2 linked regions of the Arabidopsis thaliana genome follow. The protein of the gene in region 1 interacts with the protein of each later gene in a pairwise test. Each region holds a gene or a part of one and is shown on either strand. Other genes may lie near its edges.

Region 1 (4,903 bases):
ATTAATTATTACTTGTATCGACAAGGATATAGACTTGTTTTTCAAAACAGATATGAGGCAAATAATGGATACAGGATCGAGTAACAAATAATCGTGCTTAGCCCTACCCGAAACTATACCGTATCTTAAGATACATGAATAATTGAGCTTTTGGTTTAACTTATTATTAGGGTATCATCATACTCAATCTTAAAAAACTATAAGCAATCTTACTCATCAAAAAGAAAAGTTCCATTTGTTATTTTCTTCTTTTGACAAGATTAGTTGATTTGTATGTAAATATATGTGGTTGTTAGTTCGCCCCAAATGACATAAAATTATAAAAGGACCGACTTTAAAAAGAGATTCCCTATGAAGACATGTGCCTAAATTAAAGCTACAAAATTTTGGTGTTTCTAAATTGATTAATTTATTTAAACTTTTTTCAAGTCGACAAATATATAAAATCACTCAATTAACTTAAAATATTAGCAACTTTGTGTTTCTGACCAGTGACTAGTGTGTGTAATCAAACAACCAATTATTAGCCTACATTCCTATGAGTCTATACAAAACCGTCGACATGAAATTTTATTCTTTTGAATATCATAATACAATAGTAATATTGCAATCACAATTCGTTGAATGCAACTTTATAAAATGCTAGAAAATCTGTCATTAATCAATGAAATATGTGTACATACATAATTTAGAACATAAATCTTTTAGCAGAAACTAAAAAACTTGTGAATAATGACCAATGGGCCACATGTAAATCAGTGGAGCTAGATCAAGTTAAAGAGAGTTATGGAGATATGAGCATGAGCAAGATCTAGTTATTCAACATCATCAAAAATATTCCTTGACCTCTCCCATGAAAAAAAAATTACAAGTTAAATTACACATACGCATAAGTATATACATGAAAATAAACATAAATATACATGCATGCATGTCCCCATATTTACACATATATACATACGACTAATAACACTTACCATCACATCAACCATCCTCTCTCTCTTTATACTTCTCCGCCGCTAATTTTCTCAAAGAGTGATGATGACTAATCAACTCTCGTTGACCAGTCAACCCCTCCGACCACCATAAGCCGACGTCGTTTCACCACCGAGACAACCAGCGTACCTCATGAGATCAGCATTTGTCTCCTCGAGTTCCCTTTGCAACCTCAAGACCTGTCTTTGGAGCACCGAGATCGCTCCAACGCAGCCATACACTGGATCTTTAAGTCGTGCTTCCGCCTCGTAAGCCAGCGAGTTGACCGCATCTTCCCGCTGATGGGGAGCCACTTCGTGGAGGATCTTGCTCACATTGCTTGCCCCGAATATCCGGTGGACGTTCGCAAACTTTGTAGGTTCCTCCGGCGGAAAATAGGGTGCGAATACGCAGTCTGACGTGCATTTACGCCGGAGGAATTTGCATGCTGCACACGGTGAGTTTGTGTAGTTCGACATATATATCCCCTGATTTTTCAGTTGCAAAAAAATGGCAAAAACGATTTAATCACATCATAGTATCTTATTAGTAATTCTCGAAACTACAGTATAAGATTGATATGAATTTTGATCCATATCGATCGATATTGTAATTCTCTGGAGTCTCTTCTTCTTCTATATACATCAATTATCAATATCTTATCAACAATATGTCTACGTACACTTTTTAAAAATTGATACAGTTTCAAATGTTTTATTTCCATTTTGAATTTGGTAACTAGCAAAGTAGCAATAAAATGGTATCATCATCAATACAATATAACTTACAAGACGTATGATGTTCTTAGTCTTTTAATCCTCAAAATTCATTATATTCTACGTAAAATGGTAACTAGAAATAATAGTCTCATCATCAATATAACTTAGAAGACGTATGATGCATGTTCCTATCTTATTATCCTTAAAATTCATTATTCATAGTGTTCTTTCTGCGTCAAAAAGATGTTATACCACCTAAATTTATATTTCAAATATATCTCAAACAAATATATACATCCTTGTCTAATGAATTAATTTTACATAATTATAAAATCTTGGGAAATTGAGAATAATCCATACTAAAAAGTTATTGGTGAATCTAACACACAAGACGATTATGGGAAATTATATAAACTTGTGTAACATTACACATTAAAATGTAAACGTCCATATGATATTCATAGTAATATGAAGAAAATGGGTGTCGGAAATTCGAATTACTCACACAGGTTTTACGTTTTAGAGCTAGTATTAGTTCTAAACAAACAAACAACATGTTCTCATCAAAGCACTCTCTGTCTCTCTGACTCTGAGTTCCCCACATGTACTACATATTAGTTTGAATCTTGAATTTATGACCGAGTTTTATTACCTGCTATATAGGATACTTTCACTGTATATTAGAAGTCCCGAATTCCTGATTTCACTTTCAATTGTAACTTCTTCTTTCTTTTGTAAAGAAAAAAGGTCGTCCAAATTATAACTTGGTAGTTCAAGACCAGTGATCAAATTTTCATGATCTAAACTCTCTAAATTTATATAATCAATCAACATATATAGAAAGTATATATATTATGCAAGTGTGAGTGAATTGGCTGTACAGAATGAAAAACTCTTGGTCTTACCTTTAAATGGATCGCAACAAGAAAAGGTCCTTCCTTGATAACTTCTTGAGAAGGTTTGATCTTCTTTGTTTCTCTCTTGGGCATTAATTATAAGAAAGGAGAATGAAAAATCTTCAAGTAGATTTTGCAATTATTGGGATATTTTTGTTGTTTTCAGAGAGGAAACCCTAGTTTGAGAGAAAGAGGAATCTCTCTAAGGGGAAAGTTAGAGAGATAAAGAGGAGACATGGGTTGGATATAGAGAGAGAGGGGCAAAAGGCATTTTTGGTGCGATGAGAAAGAGAAAGAAGATGAATATAATGAGATTACAAAAAGACAAATTGGCCTCAATTAATTGAGGACCTAAAATAGTGAACTTAAGAAAGAATAACTCTGACCGTGGCAAATTTTACTCCATTCAATTGCTTTTAGTAAATAACTAAATATACAACATATTTTCTATCTTATTTTTAATTTTGACAGCATAACGTATTTTCTATTAAATTTTAAAAAACTAATTTATAATTTTTGTCAACTAATTTATTAAAAAGAAAAAAATTAAACGAGCCATTAGTATATAATATTGTTTATATATGTGATATGATACGGTTCAGTAAGTATGTAAAATATAAAAGCGATAATTTGTCATGAAAAAATACTCTTTTATTATGTAACTTAAGAATATATGAGATAATTTAACAATGAAAGAAAATCAAATGATAGTAAACCAATACTTTCATGTATTTAAATTAAGGTACAGCCATATACCCTCAGGAGTCCGAACCATTTTATAAAGAAACTAATGATAAACCTTAATTAGTAAGCTATTAGTATTATTTATTTAAAACTAATGATAAACCTTAATTAGTAAGCTATTAGTATTATTTATTTACCTTTGACCTTTCCACGTTTTATTATTCCGTAAAAAAAAAATGTTTGTGAAGTCTTTGGACCACTTAAATATATTGTTTAAACTAAATTTCAGAAAGTTTTGGGATACAAACTTACAAGAACATCAGAACTATTGAGGATCTGAGCAAATCCGACATGTGTACTGTCATTTTGCTTGATTGAATTTAACTGTTAACGTCTTGATTTTACTGTTTACATTTCTGAAAAATAGTTATTAACTTTTACGTTCTTTTAATTAGTTGATGTGTTCATTCAAAAAATTTGACATACCCTGATGGTTGAGCCACATGCTTGAATCCAAAAAAAAAAAAAAGTTTCTATAGTGCATAACAAAGAAAAGAAAAAACTGTAATCAATTTCTATTTAAAATTATACCGTCATTTTCAACGAATATAGATACCATTCACAAAAAAGGTTGTTGTTTGTTGGATAACTCTTGTGGTTGTATTATAGATCTTATATTTCCTATAATTAAAATATTTAGCGACTTAGCATAGTATTGGTCAGCTACAACTTTAATCATCCAACGAAATTAAGACCTAAAAGATATACCAAACAAAGTAGTTGATATATAATTATATATCCTTTCTAATCCAAGTGCACTTACAAAATTAAAATGATATATATAAGTGATGATGATACCAAGGCATTATTGTTTCCATAAACATATATATGCTTCATATTCCATATAAGTGCAATATTTGGTAGCAAGTGCGTATATAGATTATACCAATGATTAGATAAGATAATCAATCATTGGCAAGCATTATTTTACGTATTTCTTGTAACGATACTTTACGTATTTCCTGATTAGATTTCAGTGTATACAGATATGCTTCATATAGTATGTGTACAAAGAAAGTATAAAAATAATAGAAAATTGAAAGAAAAAGTGAAGAAAATATGAAAAGAGAAGGACCAATTCAGATCGGAAAAGAAGAAGCACTTGAATACGCATGCATACAAATATCCCTATACGGCTATACATAAATATATAAGATCAGGCCTGGCGAATGAAAATGTATGTCTCTTATCGTGTATATAAAATAAGCTAATGTGGGTCGACCAAAAAAAGCCAAGACGTCCAAGAAACGAAGAAGCCAAGATAGTGTGTGTGCTAATTAATTATGTATCCATTTTAGAAGAATTCATGTATATGCATAATGCATCATGTATGTATCATGCATGCACCTAGAAGTCCTATAACTAGAAGTCGGTATACTTTAATTATCAATTGGACAATTGGGATAACAAAACCTGGTAAGTTCTCTATATACATATATAAACTTTATAAATAAATAAATAAATGGTTTAAATGTAAGTATAGCGTATACGAATAATGAAAATTAAAAGTGATGTTATACGTTAAATTTTTCGAACTAAAAATTTTCGATAATTATTTTGAAAGGAAAT
Region 2 (3,484 bases), about 10 Mb from region 1:
ACATAAATAGAAATAAGTGGCTGCAAAAAGAAGAAGAAAAGTATACAATTAGGAAACTCTAATATTATTTCAACACCTCACAAATATTTCTGAAAACTATCGTACGATTATCTTTCTGTCGTAGTCATTTAATATACGCAAGAAAGGAATGTGTATTTAGTTTCATTTATAATGAATATTCGTCATACTAATTTTGAAAAGTTTTAATTTTAATGCGAAGACCAACCGACACGATATGATACGGTCAAAAAAAAAAAAAAAAAAAAAGATACTGTACTTTTTCCAGTATGATCTCTCAACTTAAAGTTGCAATATCATTACCAATATATTGTATAGTTGAATACAATTTAGAAACGATTTACGAGTTTTTATCATCTGATTTGTTTATGATTGTATTCGGCTCCTCAAGATTTTGTTGTAATTCAAAATATTAGTAACACATTCAAAATGCACAAACTTAAGGGAAAAAGATTTGAAAGAACGATTAATGCTAAAACCATAACACAGCTACAAGTTGCTGTACAACTTTGAATACCAAACCATTTGAGAAAACCAAAGACGAAACCTCTCTACGTATGAAAATACAACAAGTCACAACTCCATTAGACAACAACAACAACAAAAATTCCAAAACTTCATTATTCATTAGAGGGGATCTTCTTCTTCAGTACTCCTGCTCAAATATTCCACTAGTAACCATAGAAACATCCACATGGAATCTAAAGGTCTCTCCATCATTTGCTCTCGTGTGGTGACACTTCTTGTAACCTCTTAAAGCATGTACTGACCTAAACAGCCTTCAGCAAACTCTGCACTTATTGTCAACGTCACTGAACCATTATTAATCCCAGCTTCAGCTTCTATCGATTCTTCTCTGCATCTCTTGGTTTGACTTTTGGATTTGTTTCTCATTCTATGGAACGTCTGATGACCACCAAGAGTTTGATAAGTCGAGAAAACCTTGTGACAGAGCCCACACCGATGCTCTATATTCATCTCAAATCCTGATACTGAATCTTCAAATGCAGTTTCTTGACGAACAAGTTTCTGTTCGTTATCAGTTTCTTCTCTAAGTATTCTTGCTCCAGCCTGTTTCTGCTGACCCAATTCATCATCTTCTCTGCCCTTCTTGTTTGCCAAGTAACCCGAAAGCTCTTTCGATGTTCCAACAGATGCTCTGCTTATCCCCACAAGTTTCTTCTGCTCATTACTCAAAAGCCCATATTCAAAGTCTCCATCTTTTCTCAAATTCACCTCTGGATTCGAATCCAGAGCTTCACCAACAAGTCTCTGCTCATTTCTCAATAACCCGTCTTCAAATTTTCTCTGAGTCGAACCCAGAGCTTTACCAAAATGTTCCAAACCATTCACGAACTTTCCACCACTCATGGACAAGAGAATCAGAGACTCAGCGACTTCTAATAATCCTCCATCATCCACAGAAACAGGAAACATAGTACACGAAGAAGAAGAAACAGAGAATCGAGGAAGAATCTTCTTGTACCTGGAAACTCTCTTCGATCTTTTTCTCCTCTGCACAATACTAAACCTACAAAACAGGCTTCTTCTTGTAGATTCTTCAGAATGCGTCACTTGGAGATGATTAAACAGACATTTCTCGTAAAGAAACCCTTTCCCGCATTCTTTGCATCGAATCAGGATCTTTTTATTTCTCCTCCTCCTCGTACAGAATCGATGATCGAGTAAAGATTTCTGGGTTTTCTTCGGGTTTTCCCTCAATCCGTAGTTGCAAGAGAGCTCTTCGTAATGATTCATAGATTCTCTGAAGCCAGTCTTCTTCATGAGATTTCTCGAAACTCGAGAGGTTCTGAGCTTCTTAGGACGGAATTCGAAGATGGGTTTCTCAAATTCTTGTTGTTCTTCCATTAAAACGAAGCTTGTTGGAAGACGAGATGATTGGCGAAGAGTATGAGGGTAGAAATAGTTGAAAGAATCGATCTTCCGTTACTTTTCTCGAGAAAACGCAAAAGAAATCGCCGGAGACTGAGCAATAACTGTTGAGCAAGAGTGATACGTAATGCTCTGAATCAATCGGATTAAGAAGAAAACAAAGGAAATTTTTGGTTTTTCGTAGTTCTCTGGGAAAATGAGAAGAGAGGTAGAGAGTGAGAGCGAGCAAGAGAGAAAGTGGAAACAGAGAGATCAATAAGCACTGAGAGAAGTGAGAGCAGCTACGGAAGAAGAAAGGGGCACTTTCGTAAATTGCTTTGCCTATAAGAAGTGGAGGAGAACTTTTGTTTCAGTTAGAAGGTTCGACGTGACAAATGGTGACTGCTGTGGCAAGGCTTTGGGCTTTTCATTTGTTAAGGCCCTTATTTGGTGACTTGATCTTATTTTGTGAATGTTCAGGCTGAAGCTTGTGTCATTATAATCTCACAGCTATGTCTAACATCAAATGATCAAAATTATCAATATCACAGCAACAAATTATTCCATAAGACATTGAAGAGGAATCATCACAATGCAGAAAAAACTTGGGATCTGGGTCACATGCTCAGCTATTTTTATTCAAAGCACTTAAATAAACATTTGAAAAGAAGAGAAAAACTAAAACAACCAAACACACCTCTCTTTGTAAGTTTGTGTAATTCATCATCAGCAGCAGCACAATGCGGTATAAGTGGAATCATCAGGCCTTGACGGTTTCTTCTGCAGCAGCAGCATTAGTCTTTGCTTGCTTCTCCTTGTAGTCTCTGACCGCGGACTTGATAGCGTCCTCTGCAAGCATACTGCAATGTAGCTTTACCGGTGGCAACCTAAGATGCTTAGCGATTTCCCTGCAAATTTAAGAATCCCAAAACAATGACTCATTCATCAAAATGTTAACCATATCACTAGATTTGGGATATTCCAAGCACTAGAACAGAGTTAGAGATAACAATCCTGACGATATATCTAAGAGACATGATTTTGATGGTTAAAAGGCACTTACGCGTTCTTGATGGTCATAACTTCGTCTAAGGTTTTGCCCTTGATCCATTCAGAAGCTGAACCAAACAAATATACAAATTATAACCTGTCTACATCTACCTGACTCTGATCATGAGCCTCTTAACGAATCGATCAAAATTGAAAACCCTGATTCGAAGGCATACCAACGGAAGATGAGGCGATAGCGGAGCCACAGCCAAAGGTCTTGAATCGAGTATCAATGATCTGACCTGAATCATCGACCTTAATCTGGAGGCTCATGAGGTCTCCGCAGGCAGGAGCTCCTACCAATCCCGTGCCAACGTTAGGGTCATTCCTGTTGAAGGAGCCAACGTTTCTAGGGTTTTCAAAGTGGTCGATTACATTCTCGTGGTATAATCGACGACCTAACCCTAGAGGAGACGCCTGTAACCCTAGGTAAGCCTTTCTCGACGTTTGCCTTAGCATCATCATATTCTCTCTTTCTCTTTGCCGGAATCAAGGGCAGTTTTGTTATATATGCGATGTCGAGGGGACACGTGAACGGTGAGAA

The links.
Region 2: the proteins of LBD25 (region 1) and AT3G01030 interact in a two-hybrid assay, tested with the Arabidopsis thaliana proteins (one large-scale study listed by BioGRID).

The regions. Positions count from the first base shown.
Region 1 is NC_003074.8:10,236,511-10,241,413, reverse strand, and holds LBD25 (LOB domain-containing protein 25), read right to left. Parts: upstream 2,901-4,903; 5' UTR 2,684-2,900; coding exon 2,600-2,683; intron 1,464-2,599; coding exon 1,068-1,463; 3' UTR 766-1,067; downstream 1-765.
Region 2 is NC_003074.8:5,060-8,543, reverse strand, and holds AT3G01030 (C2H2 and C2HC zinc fingers superfamily protein), read right to left. Parts: upstream 1,888-3,484; coding exon 772-1,887; downstream 1-771. Other genes in the region: ISU2 (ISCU-like 2), read right to left, coding at 2,651-2,798, 2,954-3,008, 3,117-3,405.